4 linked regions of the Astyanax mexicanus genome follow. The protein of the gene in region 1 purifies or fractionates together with the protein of each later gene. This does not show direct contact. Links are inferred from orthologs where the notes say so. Each region holds a gene or a part of one and is shown on either strand. Other genes may lie near its edges.

Region 1 (7,426 bases):
TCTCTGATTTATATAAAGCTACTGATATTTCTATTTGGGGTTAATTGGACCCCAGAATTTTAAACCTTCAGAAAATTATTAGAAATACATTTTTACAGATTATGTCATGTTATATGTGTTTGTTGACTTATTATAATTATTATTATATTCTTTACAAAAGACCTCCCTGTTAAAACATCTGGTTTTAAAATGTTCTTGACCCCAAAGAACATTGATGCCTACAACAGATAATAAGAGGGTATAAATACTGTGTTTATTAAAGAGAGTTTGTCGATTTCCTAGACTCAAATCAGGAATAACCCTGGACTATATCCTGTTTATTTTACAGCGAAAAAAAAGAAAGTTAAATCCATGTCCTCATGTGATTCTTTGAGCAATGCCAATGAAAAATCACTTTTATTTTTGATAATATATAGAATTATAACCTTTTATTATTTGAATTTTCTCTAGGTGGCTTAAAAGAGCGCCATTAAGAAGCAGATAGACTTCATGCTAAAGTACAGCTTTTAAACATGGTGGAGGTAGTTTCATACACTCTTACTGTAAGTAAGACCCCCAAAGTAAAGTACAGCTTTTAAACATGGTGGAGGTAGTTTTACACACTGATAAAGATCAGGGTTCTATTCAGTACAATAAAGTTAAAGCTAAACTCTAAGTACCTCTACTCTATTGTTGTAGCATAAAGGTTACAGCAGGTTCTCTACTCACCGACCAGGTACCCCTGCCTGCTGAACTGCCTGATCCTCTTCAGCTCCTCCGGGCTGAGGTCCTCCTCCGTCTCCTGGGCCGCGAGGCGCAGACGCTCCGCCCGCCGGAACAGCCGGTACGGTGTTGGATTGATGATGGGAAACTTCAGCAGGTTCAGTGTTGTTCCTTCATAAACAAGGATGAAAACAGAGTGTGTTCTATAATAAGTGTATAGTTCTATAATTACAGATACTACATAAATACTGTATCTACTGGAGTATTATTTTTACTACTTCACTACTGTACTTGGGTACTAAAATCCTGTATCTATATCTACTGAAGTATTATTTTTACTTTACTACCATACTGAAGTACTAAAATACTGTATCTGTATCTACTGGAGTATTATTTTTACTTCATTACTGTACTTTAGTACTAAAATACTGTATCTGTATCTACTGAAGTATTATTTTTACTTTACTACCATACTGAAGTACTAAAATACTGTATCTGTATCTACTGAAGTATTATTTTTACTTTACTACCATACTGAAGTACTAAAATGCTGTATCTGTATCTACTGGAGTATTATTTTTACTTCATTACTGTACTTTAGTACTAAAATGATGTATCTGTATCTACTGAAGTATTATTTTTACTACTTCACTACTGTACTTGGGTACTAAAATCCTGTATCTGTATCTACTGAAGTATTATTTTTACTTCACTACTGTACTGAAGTACTAAAATGCTGTATCTGTATCTACTGGAGATTTTCAGTATTTTAGTACTACATTTTACAACAAACTACTTGCAATACTTGAGTACAGAAAACGTTAAATACTTTAGTACTTCCACTTAAGTGTAAAGCTTAAAAAACACTTCTACTTAATTCACTTTTTTGACCGAGCACTTTTCGTTTTACTCAAGTCAAGGTCTCTAGTAATAATTCAGCACATAAAAAAACGATTAAAAAATAAACTCATCTAAAATATGCAATGAAGTATCATTAGAGTACAGATACAGTATTTTAGTACTTAAGTAGTGAAGTAATAAATAATACTTCAATAGATACAGATACAGTGTTTTGGTACCTAATTACTTAAGAAGTGAAGTAAAAATAATACTCTAGTAGATATAGATACAGTATTTTAGTACTTAAGTACAGTAGTGAAGTATTTCTTCATCTCAACTACACATTTTTGGTCAGAATGTTATGGTGAGTGTGTGTGTATATCTTCGAGAGAATATATATATAATATATATTACCTGGCCATGGAGAAATGGTGGCTTTGTGGATCACGTCTGAGGCTCTGGACTTGCAGTAGTCAGACTCCAGCAGGGTGTTGAACAGCGTAGACTTGCCAGCGTTGGCGGTGCCAACCAGATACACATCCCCCTTATACTTCCAGGACATCTGCAGCCTGGTGATCAGGTTCTCTATGCCGTACCCAGTCTTAGCACTGATGAGATGGATGTCTTTTTGGTCAGTGATGGCTACACCTGCGTCTGCACAATACTGCGCCAGCTGCCCTCTGATCCTCTTCAGGTAGTTATCTGTGTCTCCAGGCAGCAGGTCCACTTTGTTCCCCAAAATCACCACATGCTTGTTTTGGCCCACGAGTTGCGGCAGGTCTGGGACGATGGAGTCTGGGAGATCCAGAAGATCCACGATGAGCAGCACCAGCGCTTTCTGAGACTTTATTTTACCGACTATTTTCCTGTATTCCTCTTTGGACATTGTGACATTCAGAGCTTTCTGGTGGTGGACGAGTAGGAAGCAGCGCTGGCACACCGCCTGCTTTAAGGAGTCCTCCTCGATCAGCTGTTTGAACTTCTCGCTGGGGAGGTACCCAGGTACTTCAGGGATGGTACAGTGCATCAGGGCACCACAGCCGGTGCAGCAGGAGTCACTTACTGGAACTTCTGCGTCCGGCGTACCGTAGACTTTATGCTCTTGCTTCTTTTTCAATTTCTTCTTATTAGATGACTTTTCCAGTGGAAATCCCTCGTCGTGGAACTCAATGGACGCCTCTTGGTCCACCTCCTTGGTGGCAACATCTCTCAACGACTTCAATTGAAGCTCCAAGGCCTTGTGCCGCAGCTCTGCGCTGGTAATCTTGGGCGCTTTGTCCTCTTTGACCTTCATGGACTCAGTTACGCGAAGATGCTCTGGAACATCTTCTTGTTCTTGGTCCTGAACATCAGAAAACTCAAGAAAAGCAAACTCCTCCTCTTTATCTGGCTCTACAGAGGAGTACACTGCTTTGGTCTGATTAGGATGTAGAGTGGAAGATAATGAAGATGATCCTGATAATGACTGAAGTCTTTCTTTATGTATTTCAGTTCTTTCAGAGTCTTTTAAAGTCACTGTCACAGTGGTGTGAAATCTTAATCTTAAGCATTTAGTCCTGTCAACTGAAACACAGCTGTTTCTGCTACTTTGAGACAGAAGACCCGAGTAAAGGTGACACCATCTTCTGTTTTCTAGCTCTGACACACGTTTTAAACATTTAAGAGACGAAAACTGAACCGCAGATAGCTGTAATAATTTAAACATCGTGATAACATAAGCAATATATATCAATAAACCGATATAAACATTTATACATTACAAAAAGAAATCTCAGATCAACTCACGAACACACGTGAACACAGACAGGAGGAGTGTTTTCGTCTGTCGCTGGTAAAAGACGTCATCAGTGTTGTGTCGATTTCTGCTACCTGGTCAAAACTTGTTGCCGTGCTGTGTATTTTGTAATAATTGGGATAGCAAACGAGATTTGAACAACGATGCTTTCAGTAAAAGTATAGAAAAAATATTTGTTTAATTTATTATGATAAAAAACAACATATAAATATGTAAAAGCGTGTCAAATTGTGTGCGTAGAACGACTGAGACCATATATAGCTCAATAGCACAAATCGACAGAGCACCGGATGCTAATATAATGACACTTACGCTATTTTCTAAAAAAAAAAGAAGAAGAAGAAAAGTATTTAATCGCCAAACTGTTTTATTATGTTTTAAAATAAAGTATACATATACAATACAATAAAAAACTAGTAATAGTAATAATTAATCAACGTGTCTTTTTTTACTTTACTGGATTGTGTAATATATTGTAAATAACTGACATAATACATGAATTCAAATCTTGCATTAAGAATAAACAAGTACGATTTGATTTTTTACATTCAAAATAACTAATTATAAAATATTTATATAAATAAAATGTTGTAAAATAATATATGAATGTTTTTTTATTTTATTGGATTGTGTAATATATTGTGTACAATTGATATAGTGCACTAATACAATACAATATGTAACACTAGCTTAACTCATTATCATTAGTTATTATGAAAAGAGAGAAAGAGTAAAAATATTTTTTGTTAATTTATTTTCTAAACAATCTATCATAGATGTTAAAAAATGCCGTATTTTTGGGGTTATTAACATTTTTTTAGGAGTTTTTTTATTGATATATTTTACTTAAGTAACGAAAAAATATATATTATTTAAGATTTTTCCATTTTCAGTATAATACTTTGCAGTAAACAAAAATACATAAGATTTGTTTATTTTTTATTAGTCAAAGTGACACATATGATTAAATAATTATATAATTGTAATTAAAACTCACACAAATCAATTAAAACCTTATTCCTAGTAAAAGCAAGAGATCACATATATGAACGTACAATTCGGTCGCGAGCACCAGAAGTGACGCCACGCGCGCGCCGGCGGCTCGGTGAACAGATACAGCGCGTTTTAACGGGACGTTTTTGTGTTTGTTTACCGTAAACAAGGCTGTAAACAACAGTAAACATCATGTATGATCAGGATGAAGGTTTGTTTAAAGCGCTGGAAGCTTAAATACTCTGTTCTGCTTCGTAATTCGGTTTAATGTGCTGTAAACTGCGCGTTAACACAACGTAGTTAGCATGTTAGCTTAGCAGCTCTTTATAGACAACAGACTATTCTCTCATTTAAGACTCAAAATACTGGGATTTCTGCTTTATTTCAGTAATAAATGCAGTTTATTTTTCGATAATCACTCTTTAAATTATATCAGCGGGTGATTTTAAGCTTTGTTTGTACTAGAATATATAATAAAAAAGCGTATCTAGTTAAATAAATAAAGTTTAGGTAGCTAGCTGTTAGCTAACCTAGGCAAGTGTTTCAGAAGTTTGTAGGAATGTTGTGGGCATATTTTCACGTGTTTTTTTTTTATATTATTCATACTGATTATAGGACGGTTATCAGTACGTAATATATATATATAGTAATAAAAGTTATGTCTTGTTATTGATTGCATTTTACCAATATGATTTATTTCAGTAAAATAAAAAATATATCTCTGTTTCAGTTAGATTCTTGTAGTTACTTGTTTGCACTCAGTTTACATGTTGACTGCATTCTGAATTGACCAATCGTATGCTCAAATAAACCTAATATATAATATATACAGCTCTAGAAAAAAAGGTTTGTTGGTTAATTTTTAATTCACACAAATTATTAAGGTTTTCTACTGGCTGTTCCTATATCTGCAGCACTTGAAATGTTTTAAAAATTAGAAACTGTTTTGCTATTATCTATAGGTAAAGATATAAAGTTTCTCATCTCCTGTTTGGGTGGGTAAGATCATAGCCTAAGCTGAGCTATAGCTACCTCTGGCCTTGATTAAACCAGATTTATTTGCTGCTGTTGATGCACTGAGAATCTGATAGTCTGCTGAAAATGTAGTTTAGTCTCTGAGAATAAACCTCTCCCTTTCTTTCTCCAGATATCCAGTATGATGAAGATGATGATGAAATCACCCCAGATCTGTGGCAGGAAGCCTGCTGGATTGTTATCAGGTAGATAATGTTGCTGCTTTAATACATTGAACTCTGTTATTTAAGCATTTTGTTCTAAATCAAATGTCCACTGGCCAGATGTTAAAAATATGCTTTCTCTTCTTTATTCTCCAGCTCCTACTTTGATGAGAAGGGCCTGGTGCGACAGCAGCTGGACTCATTTGATGAGTTTATTCAGATGTCTGTTCAGAGGATCGTGGAGGATGCTCCACCCATAGACCTACAGGCTGAAGCTCAGCACACCTCCGGAGAGGTGGAGGAACCGGTAAGTTAATGCCGAATGTGATTGCACATATCTAGCATCTGTTATTATAATAACAATAATATAATAATTATTAATATTATTTTATATCGCCCACCCCTAACGTCAGCTTTGTTTAAATAGTGTTTTTTTCCAGTGATTTTGTACAATAGGTTATCAAAAAAAGTTAATTGTGACAGGCCTAAACTCTGTTTTTATTCATCAATAAAACATAAAATGCTGTTTGTGAAAGTTTTTTTTTTAATGTGATTTTTTTTTTTTTTTTTTTTTTTTTTTTTTTTGTAGCCTCGGTATCTGCTGAAGTTTGAGCAGATCTATTTGTCCAAACCAACACACTGGGAAAGAGATGGAGCTCCATCACCCATGATGCCCAATGAGGCCAGACTCCGAAACCTCACGTGAGTACAACAGCCTTTGGGGGGCGTGTGCAGGTGTGATGGATCATAGTATAAACCAATAAACCAATAGGGAGTCGGAATGGTATATGTTTAGACTTCTCTTCATCCAATCACAATCAGATTCACTCTATCTGGATGGAGAGATTTATCTGGATAGGGGTTTTCTTGAACGATGAGAAGCCGGAATGAAAACCAGCTGAAACTAAATAGGTTGTTTTTATTAAAATGTAAGGAGTAGAAAGTTCAGATAATTATGTGAAAATGTAAGAATAAGATGTTAAAAGTTGTGTGATTTATTGTGTAAAATGCTCTGCTGGTTCAGGTACTCGGCTCCTCTGTACGTGGACATCACCAAGACCATCATAAAGGAGGGAGAGGAGCAGCTTCAGACGCAGCACCAGAAAACCTTCATCGGCAAAATTCCCATCATGCTCCGCTCCACCTACTGTCTCCTCAGCGGCCTGACGGACCGTGATCTCTGTGAGCTGAACGAGTGTCCCCTGGACCCGGGGGGCTACTTCATCATCAACGGCTCCGAGAAGGTCAGGATCTGATAGCTGATTTCATCTTATTATAAATACCACTTTATCATCGTTTATAAATGTTTCATATACTCTCTTTTTGCTCTATTTAAACGTTTAGATTAGATATTTTGAAGACAAAATCCAGGTTAGGTTGCAGATAAATGCCTAATGTGATTTAAATATGGAAGTTACCCGTGCCTTCCCAGCTTTAAAGAAATAGAAAAATAAATTATATTTTATTTACTGTAATGATTAACAGTGCTTTTAGTGGACTTGTTTGTGGCTGGCAAAAAAAAAAAAAAAAATTTGATGAAAACGTTCATTGCTTTTTTTTTATTGTAATTTGTTTAAAATTTCTTTTTTTTTTATTTATACTTTCAGTTACTTTAAGCACGTTATTGACTTATCATACAATAAATGGACATGACCTCAATAATATTTGAGAATTGTGGTAATTAATCATAATGTTGACTTTAAAAGGGTATGCATGCTTTGTTTTGCTTTTTTGTAATCATTAAATCAGTGCAATTTATTGGTCTTTAATATGCACAGTAAAATTGTTTCACAGTAAACCACAAAATATTGTTATTTTGACAGGTCTAGTTCTAGGGCTTGGTGATTTATTTAAATTGCATTTTTACTGATATATTTGTTTTTTAAAGAATTGTGAAAACAGTAATTGAGATAATCGA
Region 2 (6,827 bases), on another chromosome or scaffold:
TATGATGTGCTGCAGCTTTGCACATTTGTCTTCTGGTTTGTCAATTTACTATTGCCTATAGTCCTATTAACTAGTCAATGCTGCACTGTCCAAATAGCTGTGTCGCTCAAGGTTTGTGTCCATGTTGCGCAGTTCTACCAAACTTGTCAGTGTGGACGAAGTTATGACGTGTTCTACTTTCCATAGTAGACGTTACACTGCTCTAGCTTAGCACTGCAGATGTTGGTTTAACAATTCAATACTCTATGTGTCACCTAGAAGTTACACTACTCTACCTGAGGTTATCTAGAGGTTACACTATATAAGTAATTGTTGAATGTTACACTACTCTATCCATTTTCAGCTAGATGTTACATTTTAGCTGTTATGTCTTAATATTATACTACTCTAGCCGATGTGTGAGATGTTATTCTACTCTAGATTACATTAACAACATTTTACATCATTTTAGCCATTAGTTATTGCCTAGATGTTACACTACTTTGGCTGATGTAAGTGAGATGTTACTTATACTTAAACTTATTCTTTGTTGCCCAGCTGTTCCATACAACACTTTAACTAATGTCAGCTAGATGTTTTACTAATTAGCTGATGTTGCCTAGATGTTACACTAATCTATCTGATTCCAGTTAGATGTTGCATATTTATAGCCAGTGTTGCCTAGATGTTACAGTACTCAAGCTGATGTACGTGAGATGTTACCTAAACTTATTCTTTGTTGCCCAGCTGTTACATACACTACTCTAACTAATGTCAGCTAGATGTTACACTAATCTATCTGATTCCACTTAGATGATCATTTTTACTACTGGTTGTTGCCTAGCTGTTACACTATTCTAACTTATGTCAGTGAGATTTTCACCTAGATTTTAGACATTGTTACCTAGATGTTACAGTACTCTAGCTGAAATTGGTGAGATGTTACTAGGGCTGGGAATCAAAATTCTGTACCAATAAGGTACTGACCAAAATATCTCTGTAATACAGAGTACCAAAATGTAATCTGGTGCCCGTTTTTCGAGACTTCTAAACTGGCGTGTGACACAACATGCTCATTGTTTGATTATTCCAACAAGATCCAAAAGTATGGCAGTCTCTCATGGTGACCGTATGAGAATGAATTTTCTCATGTCTCTGTCTGTTAAATACATGCTCTGTGAGAATATTTATCGCTTTTTGTATGGTTACAATCTACAAAAAAAGTATTGTTTGGGCATCCGTACTGATTTTTTTTAATGATATCCAGCCCTAGATCTTACACTATTTTAGCTGATGTCAGTTAGTTGTTGTTGCCTAGATGTTACACTACTTTAGCTGGTGTTGGTTTAATGTTAACACAATTCTCATCAAAACTGATGTCAGTGGTGTTATGTAATTTTTTTTTTTCAATTGTTGCCTAGATGTTAGCTACAGTACACAAGCCAAAGTTAGCTACGGTCTTACAGCAATACCTGATGTTAAACTACTCTAGATTTCGTAAGCTAGCTGAGTGTCATAGTCCTCTGTTTGATGTTACCTGGATGTTAGCTAGTTTAAATATCTTTAGCCAACTTTGTTTAGGTGTTGTAATGAAATATCCTTATTTGTTGCTAATGGTACCTGGGAACTGACAGCTAGCTTAACAGCACTTAATCTCGTTCAGGTAGAACTTTAGACGATTTAAAATCGTAGTTATTGTCCTGTAAGCTTCTGTACTCACTTTAGCATCAACAGAGTGTCAATTTAACTAACTTAAACATCGTCTGACAGCGAGATCTAACTTGTTATTTAAAAAAAACATCGCGGTTTTCCAAAAAGTTGACATACAGCCCAAGACAAGTTAGCTAGCGCTAGCTAACTAACAGTTAGCCATGTGGCTAAAGCTAGGCGACCGTCTATCCAACGTTACATAGCTTAGTTAGATTAGCTAGCAAAGTTGTTAACATTTATTTGGTGTGGACATACTTTCACTGAACGTTTTAAACAGTTGTATATGTTAAAATTCGTGTTTGTGTAGTTGTGAGGGGAAACTGAGAAGTACAACTTTTCTGCAAAGTCTGAAAATGATGTAGTTAGCTTAGCATGGCTAGTTAGCGTTAGCAGGGTTAGCTTAGCTAGCTGGCGGCTAACGGTGATCATTGTGTAACTTGTGTCAGAAGGCAAACGAAGCTTTTGTTATGGAGGGGAAAGTAAACGATGTGGCCGCTATTATATCGCGGGAAGGCGCGGATTGAGTTAATAAAGGTGTTAAACGGTGATGCCAAAGTTTTGCGTTTCGCTCGCCAACTTTGGCTAACAGCTAGCCAGCTGGATCAATTGCCATCTTTTAAACACCAACCTAGCTAGCTAACGCTAGGCAAGTTAACGTTAGCAGCTTCTCATTTGATCTTTTCCAGTCCACCTTAAATGGTGCTGCACTTTCAACGCGTAGCCTGAAGCGCCTGAGTGTGACTGCCGCACTAGTAACAGTCGTTATTTAAGGTGGAACGGAGAAGATGTGAAGAGAAGCTACCTAACCTAGCTAGTTAGCTAACTTTATCCATGTCCATTATCGTTTTAATCTACGCAAAGCGATACGCGGTGTGTATTCGCAGTCTGGAGGATCTCAGGAGTGTGATGGTGAGGTGCTTTAAACGAGTACCCGCAGAGTTCAGCACTCTCCCCCGGGGCTGGCTGGCCGCCGGCCGGCCGGCTAACGGCAGCTACTCACATTGCTGTGGCTATCGATGGCCTGCAGCAGCCGGTCTCTCATCTGCTGCGGGGTCGCCGAGGCGGTTGTCATTGCCTGCTCGGAGCGAGTCGACGCGCCGACGGGGGAAAAACCCTCCGGGTTCGGGGCTGCGGGCTCAGCGGGGACTCACAGACCGCGGCGGGCGCTCGGAGCGGACGGGAACCGCATATTGGTAAGGTGATCCTCGGCTCGTGGATGTATGAACGGTGTCAGGCGGACAGCGAGGGCTGGACAGTGGAGTCTCTCCGCTTCATAGCTCACTGTCTGTCTGTCCCTCCCTCCGCGATACCACACTGCTAAAGCACGGCCCCGCTGCATTGTGGGAAGCTAAAACTCTCAAAAACGTCATTACGTCATTAGCGTGGCAGTGGAGCTCTGTGTCATAAATAAATAAATCAAAATAAATAAGTAAATAAATTCAGTTTCTGAATCAGTTTCTCTGATTAAACTATCCATAGGTATATGCTTGATTAAAACGAACATTGGGGTTTTATTCTATAAACTACGGACGAAATTTCTCCCAAATTCCAAATATAAATATTGTAACAGAGCATTTATTTGCAGAAAATGAGAAATAGTCAAATTAAGGAAAAAGATACAGGGCTTTCAATCCTCAAATAATGCAAAGAAGACAAGTTCATATTCATTTAAAAACAACAACAACAATACTAAAGTTGTATCTTGGGAAGAGATCAGAATCAATAATTGGTAGAATAACCCAGATTTTTAATCACAGCTTTCATGTGTCTCGGCATGCTCTCCACCTGTCTTTCACACTGCTTTTGGGGGACCTTATGCCACTCCTGCTGCGGAAATTCAAGCAGTTCAGTTTGTTTGATTTCCTGTGACCATCTATCTTCCTCTTGATTACATTCCATATATTTTTTTATTAGGGTTCATGGCTAAATATCGGGCTGGCCATGAGACTGTCTTGATCGGGTGGTCCTTCATCCACACCTTAATTGATCTAGCTGTGTGGAATTGCGCATTGGAAACAAAGCTGAACTGCTTGAACATTTTTTTGCCAGGAGTGGAATAAGGTCACCCAAAAGCAGTGTGAAAGACTTGTGGAGAGCATACCAAGATGTATGAAAGCAGTGATTCAAAATCAGGGTTATTCCACCAAATATTGATCTCTGAACGTAGGATTGTTGTTTCTAAATGAATATCAACGTGTTTTCTTTGGGTTTAGGGTTTGAAAGCACTGTACCTTTTACATTATTTTGACAATTTTTGACATTTTCGTCAAATAAATGATCTAAATGACAATATTTGTATTTGTAACTGTATTTGTATTTGCAAATGTTATCAGTGGTTTATATAACTAAACCACAAGGGTAATTTTACTAGCAAAATTATATGGATCATTTTAAAGTGGTGCCTTGTTTTCAGAGCTGTATACTGTATAAATATCAAATGTGTAATTATATGTTTGTATTTTGGCTGTGACTTGTTCCCACCTGTATTCACTGCATTCACACCTGCCTAAATAAACTGCATCAGGGGTGAAAACCGAAAGCGAATCGGAGTCCTGTTAAACCCGTTTAACTGTAAAGGGCGCAGTGCTGTGGCTGTGGTAGGTAGGGGGCGCTACTCTCCCCGTATATGATCCCGCACTGAACATACACACAGGGGGAGGAGAGGCCGGACAGGCTGCTCTGAGTAACACAGCTAGTTTAACACACACCGAGTTTATTTCAGTTTAAACTCAGGCTTAGGGTCAGTGTGCGGACCGGCAGCAGCATGTTTAACCGAATGACCAGCCTGTGGATGGGGGACGTGAGTGTTAAACCGAACTTTTAACTCTAAAACTCTTAATTATACAGCGGTTAACTGCTGTGGGTTATGAAGCTGTAGACACGAGTTAGCATCGTGCTAACGTTACGTAGCATTAGCTTACTGACTGAGTTAAGCAAGGAGCTAGCTTAGCCTAGCGTAACTAGCTAATAAACAACTATATTTACCTCTTTAACACGTTATCTTTACTTAACCCTGGATATATCTGTTTATTTTATATTAAACTGAGTCAACTCTGACAGGAATGTGAGACTAGCTCTCATAAAGCTCATAGCTTTATGTCGTTAGCTAGCGTTAGGTAAAGTTAGCCTCTTATTTCCGTTCCACCTTAAACCAACAGCTGCTGGTTCTCTCATGATCAGATATTTAAAGTGAAATGGGACGTTTCTATAAGATTTACTGAAGCTACGAGCTTAGTAAGCTAGTTTTTAGTGCAGAAGTCACAAAAGTTAAACTTTACAAATAACTATAGTTAGCTAGCTTACACAGAAATGTGGACACCCCTGAGTTGTAGGCTTAACAAGTAGTTAACTAGCTAACTAATAGATTAATATGCTATTTGTCTGTCTGGCTTACTTCAGTTAAAGCTACAAATTTGTAAATCTACAGCTCTGAGAAAAAAGAGAGACCATTTCAGTTTCTTAATCAGTTTGTCTGATTTTGCTATTTATTGGTATATGTTTAAGTTAAATAAATATTGTTATTTTATTCTATAAACCACGGACACTTTCTTCCAAGTTACAAATACAGATATAGTCATTTGGAGCATTTATTTGCAGAAAAAAGAAATGGCTGAAATAACAAGAAAAGGCAAAGCTTTCAAATCGCAAATAATGCAAAGAAAACAAGTTTTTATTCATAAAGTTTTAAGAGTTCAGAATTCAATATTTGGTGGAATAAACCTGATTTTTAATCACAGTTTCATCCATCGTGGCATTTTCTCCTCCACCAGTCTTACACACTGCTTTTGGATAACTTTATGCTACTCCTGGTGCAAAAATTCAAGCAGCTCAGCTTGGTTTGATGGCTTGTGATCATCTATCTTCCTCTTGATTATATTCCACTAAGGTTTTCACTTCTTCTTTTTAAGTGGTCCCTTATTTTTTCCAGAGCTGTTTAGTGAAGTCAATTTACAATTGTAACTAACCTTGTTAGTCTATGTACCTTAAATATAGAGATGCACATGTCTGTGCAAATACCTGTGTAAGTAAAAAAAATCATTAACTACATAAAAATACCTTCTTAAAATAATCACCTTCTCAAATAAACTCTTTTTTTTTTTTTTTAGAAAACATGGCTTATGAGAGTTGTTATGGTTGGCAGTATCAACCTTATTAACAGTATCAACCCAATAGTTTTAATTTCACTCCAATCACTTATACACAGGTTGCATTATTATTATCTTTACATTTTGGATCAGTTCTGGTGAAATTCCTGTATTTTTATTATGGCAATATATACTGTACTGTCAGTTTTTCGTATGTCATGCAGCCCTATATGGAACAGAGGGATAATGACAGTTAAATAGCCTAAGGCTATAAAGGGAATGTTTTAAGCACTTTTCTTTAAATTAGAATTCTTATTGTTTTAATTGTTTTAGTCAACACTAGCTCTGTACTAGTTTTATGCTTTTATTTTACAGCTGGACCCATACATGGATGAAAACTTCATCAAGCAGGCATTCAGCACAATGGGGGAGACGGCCTATGGTGTGAAAATCATAACGCACAGAGTCACAGGGTAAGAATTTTGACCTTTAGCTATTGGTAGAAGTGTTCTCTGACGGTATTTTGCAACACAGCAATAATGCAGTTGCTTCAGAGAAGAAGTTCAACATATTAATCTGTATCAATGTATTTGTATGTTTAACAAAATGTCCTGTGTGCAATATGTGAATAATAGATTGTTCTAAGTTGTTTTGGTTGTAATCTCACAGTGCTGTTGATCTCTCACTCTCTCCCTTTCTCCCACTCTTCCTCTCCCTCTCTCCAGAGGCTCAGCGGGGTACTGCTTCGTGGAGTTGGCAGATGAAGCCAGCGTGGATCGATGTGTTCAGAGACTGAATGGGAAGCTGGTTCCAGGGTCAAATCCTGTGAGTGCTGAGATTAATTATTTCATATTTATTTATATTCATAGATTTAATATTCATTTATTTAGAGTTTAGAAGTTTATCCAGCACAGCCCCCACCTGCTATGATTAAGACTCCACAGTATTTCTGTATAAGTAGTGATTCGGAGACTCAGAGCTGAATGTCTTCCTGAATAAAGGTGGTGAAGGCTGTTTGTAATTGACTTTGTTTGAAGCTGGTGAATAAACTCT
Region 3 (7,456 bases), on another chromosome or scaffold:
CTAGTCAGTGAGTTAGCTAGTTTACCTAGGTCATCTGGTCAGTGAGTTAGTGGGTTAGCTAAGCTAGTTAGGTTACCTAGTCAGTGAGTTAGCTAGTTAACCTAGGTTATCTGGTCAGCGAGTTAGCTAGCTACTTAACCTAGGTCATCTGGTCAGTGAGTTAGCTAGCTACTTAACCTAGGTCATCTGGTCAGTGAGTTAGTGGGTTAGCTAAGCTAGTTAGGTTACCTAGTCAGTGAGTTAGCTAGTTAACCTAGGTTATCTGGTCAGCGAGTTAGCTAGCTACTTAACCTAGGTCATCTGGTCAGTGAGTTAGCTAGCTACTTAACCTAGGTCATCTGGTCAGTGAGTTAGTGGGTTAGCTAAGCTAGTTAGGTTACCTAGTCAGTGAGCTAGTGGGTTAGCTAAGCTAGTTATTATGCCCCAGGGTAAAGCCAAGTAAGTGCTGATTACGGTTAACTAGCTAACTCACTGACTAGGTAACCTAACTAGCTTAGCTAACCCACTAACTCACTGACCAGATGACCTAGGTAAACTAGCTAACTCACTGACTAGGTAGGTTAGTGTTCACTAACTAACTAGTATAATTTAAGCATGGATATTTAGCACACCCCGCTAACATGAGCATCTTAATAGAGTTAAACACTTACTTAAAAAAGAAATATAACATTAAACATAACGTCTGTATGAAATTTAATTGGAAAAGTACCTGCTGGTGCTGCTGTGAGCTGAACCCCGTTCGCTCCGCCATGTTTGGAAGAGCGCTTGAAGCTGGCGGGGTGGGCGTGTTCTGTCTCAGACGAGGGTTCAGGGTAGGTGACCAATAGAGATTAAAGGGGAACGCCTTCTTCTAAGCCCCGCCCACCCGTGAAAAGTGTGCCAAAAATCAGAAGCAAAAAAATGAAGCAGAAGCAAAGGAGAGATTCCAGAAGCAAAAGTCTTTAGCAGCAAAATCCACAAAAATCCACAGAAAATCCAAAAAAATCCAAAAATGAAAGCAAAGACTGGCAAAATCCAAACTAAAATAATTTTCAAATAAGTGCAAAGAATAATAAAATAACCAAATATATTTAAATATATATATTTGATATATATTTTTTCTCTTTTGAATTTGCAACATACATGTTTTACTTTTGATTCTTAAAATTTTGATTGTGGATTTTATTTTTTTACGTAAAACTTTTGGCACAAAATTCACTCCATACACCATGACCAACCTGGCCAAAACAATATGATCAGTTTGATGACCAGCTTGTTCCAAGAGGGTCCAACACCATGACCAATCTGACCATAACAATATGACCAGCTTGATGGCCAGCTTGTTCCACAATGGTCCAACTGGCCACAATAATATGACCAGCTTGGTCTATGAGGGTCCAACACCATGACCAACTTGGCCAAAAGAATATTACCAGCTTGATGGCCAGCTTGGTTCATGAGGATCCAACACCATGACCAACCTGGCCAAAAAAATATGACCATCTTGTTTCAAAACAATATGACCAGCTTGGTCCAAAACTATATGAGCATCTTAATGAGCAGCATGGTCCATGAGGATCCAACACCATTACCAACCTGGCCACAACAATATGACCAGCTTGGTCCCCAAGGGTCCAACCCCAGGATCAACCTGGCCAAAACAATATGACCAGCTTGGTGCAAGAGGGTCCAACACCATGACCAACCTGGCCAAAACAATATGACCAGCTTGATGGCCAGCTTGGTCCATGAGGGTCCAACACCATGACCAACTTGACCATAACAACGTGACCAACTTGATAACCAGCATGGTCCATGATGAGCCAACACCATGACCAACCTTACCATAACAATGTGACCGCATGATCCATAAGGGTCCAACACCATGACCAACTTGACCATAACAACGTGACCAACTTGATAACCAGCATGGTCCATGATGAGCCAACACCATGACCAACTTTGCCAAAAGAATATGACTAGCTTAATGACCAGCTTGGTCCACGAGGGTCCAACACAATGACCAACCTGGCCAAAACATTATGACTTGATTGGCCCATATGTGTCCAACACCATGACCAATCTGGCCACAACAATATGACCAGCTTGATCTAAAACGATATTACCAGTTTGATGAGCAGCTTGGTCCACATGGGTCCAACACCATGACCAATCTGGCCACAACAATATGACCAGCTTAATGACCAGCTTAGTCCAAGAGGGTCGAACTGCAGGAGAATACACAATAACTACAGGCTACTACAATACAAAACTACAGTTATATTATCTACATAATACTAAAACTTAATTTACACACATTTTAACTCGTATTTATGCAGTAAAAGACTCAGTGTGGTTATAAATGAGTATAATAAGCCCTGGTCTGAGATCAGCAGTCTGGTGTAAAGTGCGTATAAGAATTGGTAGAGCTGTAATGCGGGCAGATCCAGGGCTCGTGCGCTACACAGCACGCGGATCAGCACATGGGTAACCGGAATAAACAGTAATAATGCTACACCGCGCTGTAATGAATCTACACTAATGCAGAATATCATCCAGAACTCACTGCGGGGGAAAAGCTGCGGGAAAAGCTGAGAAACGCTCTGAGAGCCGCCGCTCAGCTACACGCCTCTCCTCAACACAGGCAACGCAGTTTACAACACAACTGTCCCTCCTCGCTCGCCGTAGAGCTGTGATGTCATGATGAGAGCGTCTCAAATCCAGTGGAAGTGCCCTACGTAGGGAGCCTCTCGACACTTGGGCATAAGTGTATGGAGCACAAGACATACGCATAAATAAATAGATACCTAAATAAATAAAGTGGTCTGTAGATAAATCAATAAATATACAATTATATAAATAAATACATAAATTAATAAATACATTCATTTTATCCTTACATATATAAAAGAAATCTTTCATCCATTAACTTTTATTTGTCCTGTTTCTGAGTTTTTACATTTATTTATTTATTTATTGATTTATTTATTTAATAATTATTTATTTATTGACGAATCTATTTATATATATATATAGCTTGTAAAATAGATAAACTAATAATTCTACTTATAAATAAACAAATAAATGAATTAATACACAATTATATGAAAATACATACGATTGTAAAATAGATAAATAAATAATTATATTTAAAAAATAATAAATAAATAAATAAATACACAATTATATTAATAAATACACGAATAAACAAATACACAATTATATTAATAAATACATGAATAAATAAATAAATACAAATAAATACATACATAATACCTAAATACTTCGATACATAAATAAATAAATAATAATAATAATAATAATAATAATAATAATAATAATAATAATAATAATAATAATAATAATTTTGTCCTGGAAAAGGTAATAATTACATTTATGTCATATCTTATATATTTTTTGTGGATTCAAAGAAAATTTAATCTCCCATTTATAGCCCTAAATACTTGTTTGTGTTTTTTTTTTGTCCTTACACTATATTTAGCTTAACTTAGCTTAACTTATAATGGATAAATTATTCGTATAAATAAACAAATAAACGAATTAATACACAGTTATATAGATAATTACATAAATACATAAATAAATACATATGTTTAGTCATTTATTTGTATTTATTTTCTTCACTTTTTTTTTTTTACGTATCACCATATTTCTTTATTTATTTATTTCTGTATTTATATGTTAATTAGTTAGGCGGTCCATTCCTCGCTGAGTATATTGTTAGTGGATTAAAAAGTGAATTTAATCTCTCATTTAAAGCCCCAAACTCTTGTTAAAAACAGCTTAGATTGTAAAGTAGATAAATAAATAATCCTATTTAAAAATAAATAAATACATACATTTTTCTTTTATTGTTTTATTGATGAATTTCTACATTTCTTCACGTATTTATTTACGTACCACCATATTTCTTTATTTATTTATTCCTGTATTTATATGTTAATTAGTTAGGCGGTCCTTTCCTCTCTGAGTATATTGTTAGTGGATAAAAAAGTGAATGTAATCTCTCATTTATAGCCCCAAACGCAAAACAAAAAATAAATACACAACTATATGTAAACAAATACATAAATAAATATATAAATAAATACATACGTACATTAATACATAAATACTTCAATAGATACATACATAAATGAATAAAGGCATTTTGTACTGAAAAAAATAATATTTACTTTTATATCAGAAATATATTTTTACATAATATGTTTTATTTGATTTTTAATGGACTGCGTAATATATTGTATAACAATACAATCAAATATTGACATATTGTCCAGCTGTGATCATAAATATATTACAGTCTCATGATGCTGTTGTGGAGACATCATCAGAAGGGGAAGCCATATCTCAAATCTCAAATCCTTCTGTTAACCCGGAAGCTGACTACATAGTGAACAGGGGAAAGATTTGGGACGCGCCCCCGCGCGATTTGTTTTGAAGGCAGAAAGCATGGACGCCGGGGAGAAGAGGAGAGTTCGCTCCTCTAAAGGCAGAAAGAAAGGCGAGTTAAAGCTGTAGTTTAATAAATAATGATGTTATTAATGTGGATATTAATGTTAAATATCTATATAAAGTATAAACTGTACAGAAAGCTCATTTATCTGGGTTAGTTAGGCTGTGGGTAACTGAACTCTGATGACTTGCTGGTTTCACTCTCAGCTCTGCTTCAGTTAATGAAGGTTTTTTGTGTATTTTTTTCCCAATTAAATAGTAATAATTTTAATAATGTTTTATTTATTGTGTGTTACAGGAGGGAGGGATCCTCCAGCCAGGTCAGCTGCTGAGGAGGCCAGGAGGTAAGATAATATAACTATAATTAAAAAAATATATAAACTCATATATTATTATATAGATGTAATAAACATAGAGTGATCTATTATAAGTGTTTATTTCTTTTATTGTTGATGATTATGGCTTACAGCCAATGAAAAAACCCAAAAATCAGTATTTCAGAAAATTAGAATATTATATAATAAGACCAATTCATACTTTTGGTACGCAGTGTGGTCAGTGTGAAGCCAAGTCCTGCTGGAAAATGAAATCCACATCTCTATAAAAGTTGTCAGTAGCAGAGGGAAGCTGTAGGATATGAAGTGCTGTAAGATTTTGTGGGAAAACTGCACTGCACTGACTTTATTAGACTTGATATTAAAACACAGTGGATCAACACCAGCAGATGACAGACATGACTCTCCAATCCATCTGTTAACAGGAGGGAGGTTCTGAAGGAGACGCTGAGGGAGAAGTTGGAGTTGGAGAGGAGGGCTCGGCACGTTGTGGAGCGTCTGCTGGACGATAGCGTGACGGAGGAGCTTTTAATCGACTGTGTGAGATTACCGACTCGAGCTACTACATGAATTATACACAATTAGAGCTATTCTAATCATACATTTACCTCAGCAGTGCAATTCTATTAGCAGTGCTATTCTAATCTTAAATACACATACGCAGTCCTGTTCTACTCACAAATCTACCCAAGTAGAGCTATTCTAATTATATATTTGTAGGGGTGGGCAAAATGGCCCTAAAAAAATATCACAATATTTCATGGTATTTTTGCGATAACGATACTCTAATGCACTTTATATATCTCCATATGTCTCAAAAGTGCTGCAGTTAAATGAATGATACTGGACATATATAATATCTAGTCTCTAGTAGATGTTAAATGGGAAACATCCCAGTGTGAATTTTTCTTTTGCTAAAAACAGCAAGGGATATGGCACAATATTTCAGGGTGTAAAATTGTTCACGATATTCAAAAATGTTGGCGATAATATAGTGTACGAATTGAAATGTCACACCCCTATATATTTGCCTCAGTAGCAGAGCAGTAGTAATGGTGCTGCCATTGCCATTGAGGTAAAGTAAACACTATTATATATATATATATATGCCTTTTTAATACATTAATTATGCATTATTTTCTTTATATTTTTATATATTTTATATATCCTCTTGAGACCCTACGTCCTCATATGTGGCCATTAAATTTCTGCTTCTCTGCACCCTGATAATAAATTATTATAATAATTTTTTTAAACGTTGACCCTTTGGCCTCATATTGAGATACTGCCCATAGCAACTAGTATTATACTCAATTGATTAAAAAAAAAAGATGGCGGGAATCCCAATCAAAAGTTTTTACAGCCAGTCCAGGCAGATAAATGGTCCAGGTAACAATTCTTATTGAATTTTATGTTTGAAAGTAGTTAATTTACTTACTGTAGAGTTGGGTCCTTCTGATCCCAAATGGCAAGAATATAACTGTCCCCATATAAGGACAAAGACGAAGTTTATATTTTATATTTGGTAGATCCTGCTAATCTCCAATATCTAGGATATATTAAAAATATACACTAAGCAAAAGTCTGGGTCTGAAGAGGATATTCACAAAAGTGTTTTATTTGCTGTTTTGGTGTTTCAGGCTCGACTCATCACTCCAGCAAACTATAAAGATGCGGTGGAGGAACGCTCCATCGCTAAAATGTGTGGATATCCTGTATGTCCAAACAAGCTGACCAGTGTAAGAACCTTATTTATAATAACGGTGATTAAGCTCTGAGTGAGTGTGCTGGGTGCTGGATCACTATTCAATATATTATTACTATACTGTGCTGTTTAGCTTATTTTGATTGGTTGATTTGTTTCTGTTTTCCTCTTTTACATAATACAATTTTTAAGGGAGGTTTTTGATCTTAATATATATATATTTTTTTTTTTTATTTCTGTGTATTTAATTAAATATATATAATATTAAGTATATATAACAATTAAAAGTGTTCAATAAATAAAACACATACTTTGTTTAACTCTCAGCAAAGCCAGACAGTTTTGTTTTCCCACAAAATCTTACAGCACTTCATGCTTCTTCCCTCTGCTACTGACAACTTTTATGGAGATGCAGATTTCATTTTCCAGCAGGACTTGGCTTCACACTGCCCACACTGCTTCGCAAAAAAACAGTTGGTCTTATATAATGTTCTAATTTTCTGAGACACTGATTTTTGGGTTTTCATTGGCTGTAATCCATAATCATCAACAATAAAAGAAATAAATGCTTGAAATAGATCACCCTGTGTTTAATACATCTATATGATACAGCTCTTCACCATTTCAAAATTTCTTTCATTTTACCAAATTGAAAACCTCTGGAATATAATCAAGAGGAAGATGGATGATCACAAACCATCAAACCACCAAACTGAACTGCTTGAATTTTTTGCACCAGGAGTAAAGCAGTATAAAGTTATCCAAAAGCAGTGTGTAAGACTGGTGGAGGAGAACATGATGCCAAGATGCATGAAAAAAAACTGTGATTAAAAACCACCAGGGTTATTCCACCAAATATTGATTATTTCTAAACTCTTTATGAATATGAACTTGTTTTCTTTGCATTATTTGAGGTCTGAAAGCTCTGCATCTTTTTTTTTTGTTAATTCTACTCTAATAT
Region 4 (8,012 bases), on another chromosome or scaffold:
CTTTATCTGAGGATGTGAAAGTGAAAATGTGATAGAAAAGCAAGTCTTCTGACTACATTTTAGTTGTTGTTCTTAAATCAGATTCTTATCATGTTTGTGTCAGGTGTTTAATAACAAGAAGTGACAGTGCATCATTAACAAGCTCAAAGTAGCTCCACACTTCACTTTCAGAGTTTTCAGTTTTAAACGTCAGGGCTCTTGGAATTCCACCATTGAAGTGTAGAGCTACTTTGAGCTTGATAATGGTGTAAAAACAATGATTTCTTTGCAATTCCCCTAAAGATAGCATTGTAAGCCTTTTGGGAGCATTGGCTATATTTCCGAATGCTGGGGGTAAACGGAGAAGGGCTTTAAGTTGGTAATCTTTTCAAGTTTCACAACAATAACTAATCCTGCCAGGAAAATAACCTATGAGCTGTCTTGGCATTAAACCTCTATTTTTACTACTAAGTCAAAGTGTTATTTTAAATATTTCGTATCTGTTATATTTAAGTCTGCACATAATTTAACTGCATTACACAAAGTAACTTATTTCCTTCTCTTCAGATGTTTTCAGGTATGTTCACCCACTATGTCAAACCTGCTCTGACATTACAGCAAGCTGAAGAACTCTTCAGATTATTAGGATACCAGCCTGCAGACACCACTGAAGAGGAGGAGCTGAGGCTAAGTTCTAAACCAGTTCACGCAGACTCTCTTCTTCAGCTGGCTTGTGCTTTCTTCACTGCTCGCATGGAGTGTCAGCTGCTCGGCACTGTGGTTCCTTTGGGTAGTGGTGTGAAATGGGAACTACAACTCATTCGGGAAAGAAAGCTTGGCCACAGCCTGCAAGTTGCACTGGAGAGTGCAAAGAGAAAGCTGCAGCTTGCTCCACAGAGCTCGGAGCATGATACCTCCGCAGAGCTCGATTTATACACAGATGACCATCAGGATCCTGGAGAATGGCCGAAGACTAATCACATGACTGCACCACCCAACAGTCATTACACTCCACCCAAAGGGACACCACTGTCACTCAGGGCTACTACTCAGTCAAAGAAAGAGATTGATGAAAACACTAGTAAGACACAGCCTGTCTGTGTCTCAAAGATGACTTGCCAGATTAGTCCTCCGCAGAAGACAGAGTTGAGTCCAAAGCCACTGAAAACTGAGAATGACAATGAAAAGCAAGTTCCCACACTAACAGGTGGTGCACAGGTCAAGGTTTCAAAAGTGGATCCACAGATATGCAGGTGCTTTGAGTCGTATGACAATTATGCCTATTATTGTGTCCAATGTAAGCAAATTCATAACTTGGAATGTCAGTGGTTGAACAGATGCAGTGAACAAGGGCATGATTTAAGGAAGGTACAGCAACACGGAATGGATGTGCAACCACAACCCACACAAAACTGGGAAAAAGCCCCCAAAGGTAACCTGAAGATGCATAGCTGTATGCAGAGTTCCACCTCTGATGTCTTCCTTGTGTGCCACAACTGCCAAAATATCCATGATTTTCAGTGTGATGGTCTGAGGTACTGTCAACTTATGGAACATACCCTTCAAAAAACAGGAAAAGTACAGCCACCTCAGGAAGAGAGGGATGGGGCTGCCCCACCACGGAGGCACACATGCCTCAGGGCAGAAGATCAACCTCACATAGTGTGCCATACCTGTGAGAAAGTGCATGACTGCCTGTGCAAGGAAGTAGAGAGGTGCAGAGAATCTGGTCATTCGATGGGATATTTGGAGGTAGTGAGCAAAGAAGAAGTGCGCACACCTTCTAGGCCCATAACTTTCCACGAGTGCTGTACCTCAGAACCGCCCATCTTTGTTTGCGTTACTTGCAGAGTCTTCCACTCCATTTCCTGTGATATGCAGTGCTCGGGAAAACATGAAATGGAGAGGCTAAAAGCATTTTGCGCTGTATGTTCATATCATAAAATTCACACACTGTGCAAGTACTGCTGTGCCCAGTATTGCAAAAAATGTTGGTTTAAGAATCCCTTGGAATGCAAGTGTGGTATGCCATTTGAACACTCCGCTGTTTAAATATGTTGTTACAGTTATAGTTTACTTTCTTTGCTGTCACGTCAAAACATTGGATCTCTATTTTTTGCCATGTTTCATTTTTTAATCTGGCAGTTGTTTTCATTTTGTGCCAAAATTACACGATTAAGGGACCAATATAATGCTTTTTATATTAACTTCAATTGAAGGTTAAGGATTTTTTGTCTCCTGTAATGTTGCTGTTTTGTAAGTACAAGGGTTTTGCATGACACCAATGATCTGATTAAATGCACTTTGTCATATTTAAAACACCTATTATTTGTACTCTATTGCTACTGCCAAATAATTATTAAAAAAAACATCACTACAAATAGAAAACTGAATAACAAGAGCACAAAATTACCATTGATGTCTATTGTGTTATACGAGTTGTGAATGTTGTGACATCAGACTACTGACACACAGTCAACAGATTTTCTTTTCTTTAATAAGCCCATATATATAAGTGCCTATATAAATGTTGTCCAGATTGCTTTTTTTTTTTCTTTTTATAATATTTTGTTTTCACCCTTTTTTGCAAAATGAGGTGTCTGCTCTTTGGTTAATGCACAACTGTTGCTGCTACTAAAAATATTAAAATAAATAAAATAGGTGATATGGAATATTATGTTTGTCGTGTGTGATAACCCATTAGAATTTACAGTTCAGAAGTATTTGCTTTTTTTCTTCACCAAGTTCTAGGCAGGTAGATTGCAAATACTAACACATCTTACTTTCATCATTTACTGCTGAGTGTTTTAAGACCAGTTTAAAACTAGTTGAACCACTATCACATGTTTTTTTAACACTTGCAGGAAACTAGTTCATTTACCGGACAGCCTTACATTGCTATAAAGGTTTAACAAAAAAATACAGTATACAAAACATATAACTGGATGTCCTCAAAATAGCCAATATCGTATTTATACCATTAACCATTGGCTTTTTACACATGTAACCATTAATAGTTCTTAAAAGTTCTGTTAAATGTTGTATAAATTAGCCAAAATATTACACAAAGCAACTGTATTATGTAATTTATATTTTATGTGATTAAATGAATATAGACCATTTTTATCAGAAATAAGTCACTTAAAGCAGCTTCCAGACAAGTGTACTCCCAACTTTTAATCAGCAGATCTGCTATTCATTGTATTGTTCCCAGTTCACATTAATGAAAGTTTTACTGTCCATGCGGTCAACGTAAAGAACTCCACCGAGGTGATCCATCTCATGCTGCAGTATCCTTGCAGGCCATCCAGTTGCTTGCCAGGTTACCGACTCTGCTTTTTCATTTAGTCCTTTGGAAAGAAATGTTTATAGATGGTTATCACGATAGATACACTCTTCACAAGCTATACATTATAAGACTATAAGATTATAAGGTTGTTACCTGTGACCTGCACAGAAATATATCGTGGAACAGAGGCAGAGAACCCTGATATGCTTTCACAGCCTTCCTGGAAGGTGACCATCTCTCCATCTAAGATGCGCAGCTGTGGATTAATAAATATCTTTAAGGGAACTGGGACCAGGCCACGGGCCTTGATGGAAGCAGGTAGGCTGTCCTCCAGCATCTTCTCTGGATACTCCAGAGCTATGATCTGGAGAGGTACACCAATCTGGGGTGCACTAAGTCCCACACACTCCAGCCTGCGCATGACCTTCACCAAGGTTTTAATCACTTGCTGCACCTCTGCTCCTCCAATAGCGCTGGGCTCCACTGCTGCAGCCTTGGAGCGCAGCACAGGGTCGCCCACCTGACACACGTGGCTGTATGGAGGTTTTGGTGGGGCTATGACTTTTCTTTTGAGGTACTGAAGGTATGAGCGCGCTTTTTCGTTCGTGGTGTGTCTGCGTACAAGTGCAGGGCATGTTAGTGGACATGGGGAGGAAGTCCTGGGGAAGATCATAACATCATTGGTTGCTGCCTGAAATCTCAAGACACAGGGCAGCAATGTCCTCAAATGTCTGTTTATGACCAGCATCTCAGTGGTCAGGAGTGCAGCTCTGTTTCACCTGTGAATAAAAAAATGCAAGCAAGCTTTTATCATTAACAAATAACTACAGAACAATGCTGGTGTGCAACATCTACCTCTATAACCCTGCATCGCACCAGAGCACAAAACCGTGGCTGTGCTGTTTCATACACAGTGTCTGACCACTGAAATTTCAGCAGTACTTAAACCGATCAAAACCTACTACTTACCTTCACGATTCCCTACTCGCCCCTCACAAGGTCTAGCATGTTCATGGGATCCGGAACATGATTTTTCAAAATAAAAGTTCACATACTTGTGAACATCTCTGTAATAAACAGCACACACATTATATTTTGCATAGCACTTGCATAAGTATATCATTATTTTTATGTAGATTTGATTTTATGGGGGTATTTTTGGCTTTTTAAATTATGTTCTTAAGTACATTATTATGAAAGGTTATTGTGGTGACTTAGAGTTTCTGTCTTCACATGCTTTGTTCCAAAACAGAAGGCGTAAAAAATAAATTAGATTTATACATTTATTCAAGAGACAGTTTTTAAGGACATATACGGACTTTAAACGCTTGTTTGCTTATTTAAGTTCAAACTTTAATTCACAATCCTTGCCCAAATCATAGTTTTTTATGTTCTATTTACTTAGAAATATATATAAAAATATTTTATTAAACTATAGACATATGGATTATTTAACGTTATTATTATTTAACATAAACATTTCTTAATTTATACACAGATGTATTTTGTGTATACATATGTATTCATGTAATAGCTCACTCCAGTCATAGTGGGAATGTTACAGTTGTGTGAAGAGTGTATTGTTTTTTAAATAAAAGAAAAAAGAAAAGAAATCCTTGATTTTCAAATAAAACATCGTGTTAAACTGGGCATGTGTTTGACTTGTAGATCGCTGTTCTCTTTAGACATGCGCAGACCGAGCCTTGCCTCTACAAATCGGGTGCGCGGCGGGTCACGTGTCTTCGCTGTGTTTTTGTTGGGGGACGAACATGGCGCAGACGGACGGACATTGCTGAGGGGATTGCACGCACATAAGCAGAGGAATAATTTTGGAAGAGGAAGATTTTGTGCGATGCGAGTGTGAAATGGTCTCAATCTCGATTTGGACCGTTTCTATCGCCTCATTGATGACTAAAAGGACACCAGGGCTGAGGAATACGTTCACTGGCATTCATAAACATTTCTATAGGACTTCAAACCCCTGAGTGTGGTGGAGGAGGTGGTGGTGGTGGTGGTGGATATACCCAATCAATCTGTGCTTGTGTGAGATACAGGAGGCCCACGGGACGCAATGGCTGGAAATATGAACGCAAATTATGATCTTCCGCAGGGTGTAGAGAGGCTGAAAGAGGAGCACAGAAAGGTAAAGAAAGGGGGTTTGGCTTGTCTGTGGACGCTTTCGGTTTGTGTTTGTTTGCAGCTCGGCAAACATCCTGTTTACACTGTTCACATTACTGTGTGTTAATTCCACACATCTAACTTTGCTTTCATTAGCTTCAGCCGCAGCTGTTTGTCTGTTTTTAGCTAATAGTGAAGTTTAATGAAGTAAAACACCGTAGTTGACTCGCTGCCGTGTGTTGTAACCTTAGTGCTTTCTAGAAAGGGTCAGTCACGTGTTGCATGGCAGCTGGGGTTCAGTTAAATTAATATAAGGGCTGTGCAAAATCCAGAGTTTTATAATCTAAATTAGTTCAGAAAATGAAAATAAACTGAGTCCACCTTACAGGATGTTAAATTGAATTTGAGTTTGAGTTGCAAGAAGTGGAACAATTCATTCTCATTACATATGAATGAGAGTGTGATACTTTTAACATAAAGCAAAATTTTCTTTCAGATGGATTTTCAGACACTAACATTTAAGCATCCATTCCATTAATGTTACATAATTAATATAAAATATATTAATTTCAAACTAATCAAATGAAACTGTGTACTTTACAGGATGGCTAATGTTGTTTCATCTAATAGTCAACAGTTCCTCAGATTTCCTAAATATCCTAATTTGTAAGTTATTAGCTACAGTTGCAATGATTGGTTTTATAGACTATGTATTTAATGTTAATTTGTAATCCATTCAATAATATCTGTATTAAATTAATGTTGTAATCATATGTAACATATACTGTAAAGATTCAATGTTAAATACACCTTAATTGTGTATAATTAAAATCTGTGCGATCCAGTTCTATTTCATCTAATTCAAATCTGAATTGCAATTCTGCTTTCTGTTTGCAACCTCAATTCAAGAATTGAATGGAATTTAGAGCTAATTCTCAATAAAATCCTGATTTTTTTACAACCCTGCTACATGGCAGACCTATCTAGGTAAGCTATTAAATTTGCTGCCTAAATTTGCTAAGGTTAGTTATCATTAACTGTTCTACCCCTACTAAATAATATGTCATTACTCTCAATAATTTAACAGTAATGTGTCTAAAATAATTTTGCATTTAGCAAGGGTTAAAACTATTCTTAGTAAAGTCAATTTAGCAGGCACATAAAATGGCCATCTAGCTAACTACCTAGTAGTGATGCTTTCTACTTACAAAACTTTACAAAACTATTTTTGCCATGAAAAAAAAAATATTTAGATTCAAGAGCCAGTTAATAAAAGGCATATAAGGATGTTAAACACATTTGCTTATTTGAGATGTATGGACATTCATTTGAATGTATGAATTCTGAAGTGAAAAGAACACACTGAAATATTGTCTCTCCTCAAAGAAGAAACATTTTAAAAAGTATGTTTTTGAATAGATTTTAGCTAAATCTGTAATTAATACTTGATCCTCATAATAAAATGACCCAGTATGTTTCAGTGGTAAGTATTCTTTACAGGTGTATTTAGCGCAGAGCCCCTAAATGATCAAGGTTTGTAATACACACACAGTTTTGTTTTAGGCTCATAAAGAGTACTCAAGTTCATTTTATCTTAAAAATCATAAATGCAATCAAAAGTAGCAAGAATATCCTAGATTATATCCTGTGAGCTAGTCTGAAGAACAATGTTTAGTTCCAGATTTCTAGTGGATGCCCTCAGTCAGCATGTGCATGTGTTAATTTCCATCAGCAGTCCACTTAAAATAACATCATTAAGCTCTGATTTGCCAAACCAGGTGTTGATTTGATTATGACTATAAATAAGGCTAGACTTACACAAGGAAATTTACTGAAAATGTCTGAATGAACACTATAAACCTGTTGTTTGTATTTATTGTAATACTAGCCTTTTACTGAGCTAATAAATACTTACTGCCCAGATTAGAAGCCTTTTCATACTGTAATTCCCACTAATTAAAACTTTTGCACAATACTCTATATACTGTGTTTTGCCAGAAAGAAGCAGGCATAAACAGACCTTTCTCTTGATTTAGCACAATGTTGTTTTTGTTTAGAGTGGATGCTTTAGTTGCATTTAGAAAACAATTTACTAATTTGAGGGAACCATATATTTAGTTTAGGAAAGGATTTATTGTTGGAAATTGTTTGTTTTATATGTTTCATTGTGTCCATTATTCTGCAATGTTCTAAAATGACTCCTATGAACAGGTGGTGAAAGACTGCAAAGGACAGATAACACATTGGTGAGTGGTCCTACTGAAGATTCATAAAATGTTAGTCTATTTTCTTGTTTTGCAACTTGTTAAGGTAATTACTGCTATTTAAAAATATATATATAAAGTTTACTGTATACAAATAAGATCCATTGTACAGATGTTTAGTGTTTTGGCATTATAATTTTAGTATGTGAGTTGAATGGTTCCAAATGGAAATTGTGCTCTCTCTGGGAGGATGGGATGGCCCACCCTCAACATTCGGCTTGAAGCTAGTCAGTAAGGATGTCTGTTAACTTGCAGATAGGTCTTCTTTTTGTGTTCTTCTGCAACCGCATTTAACTGTCTAAAGCACGTTCTAACTTTCACCCAGTGCTGTTTGCATTATGAGTAATGTGAGATACTTATCT

The links.
Region 2: the proteins of polr2b (region 1) and mediator of RNA polymerase II transcription subunit 26 purify together in Homo sapiens (affinity purification with mass spectrometry; 3 studies listed by BioGRID and IntAct, with this or other methods). This does not show direct contact. The link is inferred for Astyanax mexicanus from reciprocal best matches to the Homo sapiens genes POLR2B and MED26.
Region 3: the proteins of polr2b (region 1) and rpap2 purify together in Homo sapiens (affinity purification with mass spectrometry; 3 studies listed by BioGRID and IntAct, with this or other methods). This does not show direct contact. The link is inferred for Astyanax mexicanus from reciprocal best matches to the Homo sapiens genes POLR2B and RPAP2.
Region 4: the proteins of polr2b (region 1) and uri1 purify together in Homo sapiens (affinity purification with mass spectrometry; 3 studies listed by BioGRID and IntAct, with this or other methods). This does not show direct contact. The link is inferred for Astyanax mexicanus from reciprocal best matches to the Homo sapiens genes POLR2B and URI1.

What each region holds. Positions count from the first base shown.
Region 1 is NC_064426.1:1,740,853-1,748,278, forward strand, and holds the start of polr2b (DNA-directed RNA polymerase II subunit RPB2), read left to right. Parts: upstream 1-4,406; 5' UTR 4,407-4,522; coding exon 4,523-4,541; intron 4,542-5,477; coding exon 5,478-5,550; intron 5,551-5,664; coding exon 5,665-5,815; intron 5,816-6,097; coding exon 6,098-6,210; intron 6,211-6,532; coding exon 6,533-6,752; intron 6,753-7,426. Other genes in the region: noa1 (nitric oxide-associated protein 1), read right to left, coding at 709-873, 1,957-3,247. UniProt on the Homo sapiens protein: Catalytic core component of RNA polymerase II (Pol II), a DNA-dependent RNA polymerase which synthesizes mRNA precursors and many functional non-coding RNAs using the four ribonucleoside triphosphates as substrates.
Region 2 is NC_064411.1:30,858,736-30,865,562, reverse strand, and holds the start of mediator of RNA polymerase II transcription subunit 26, read right to left. Parts: upstream 3,024-6,827; 5' UTR 2,762-3,023; coding exon 2,690-2,761; intron 1-2,689. Other genes in the region: trnau1apb (tRNA selenocysteine 1-associated protein 1-like), read left to right, coding at 4,454-4,489, 6,150-6,247, 6,500-6,599. UniProt on the Homo sapiens protein: Component of the Mediator complex, a coactivator involved in the regulated transcription of nearly all RNA polymerase II-dependent genes.
Region 3 is NC_064411.1:55,060,774-55,068,229, forward strand, and holds the start of rpap2 (putative RNA polymerase II subunit B1 CTD phosphatase rpap2), read left to right. Parts: upstream 1-4,431; 5' UTR 4,432-4,452; coding exon 4,453-4,504; intron 4,505-4,753; coding exon 4,754-4,799; intron 4,800-5,215; coding exon 5,216-5,330; intron 5,331-6,430; coding exon 6,431-6,529; intron 6,530-7,456.
Region 4 is NC_064416.1:20,395,860-20,403,871, forward strand, and holds the start of uri1 (unconventional prefoldin RPB5 interactor 1), read left to right. Parts: upstream 1-5,002; 5' UTR 5,003-5,339; coding exon 5,340-5,411; intron 5,412-7,597; coding exon 7,598-7,632; intron 7,633-8,012. Other genes in the region: spata2l (spermatogenesis associated 2-like), read left to right, coding at 547-2,031; pdf (peptide deformylase, mitochondrial), read right to left, coding at 3,172-3,329, 3,422-4,016. UniProt on the Homo sapiens protein: Involved in gene transcription regulation. Acts as a transcriptional repressor in concert with the corepressor UXT to regulate androgen receptor (AR) transcription.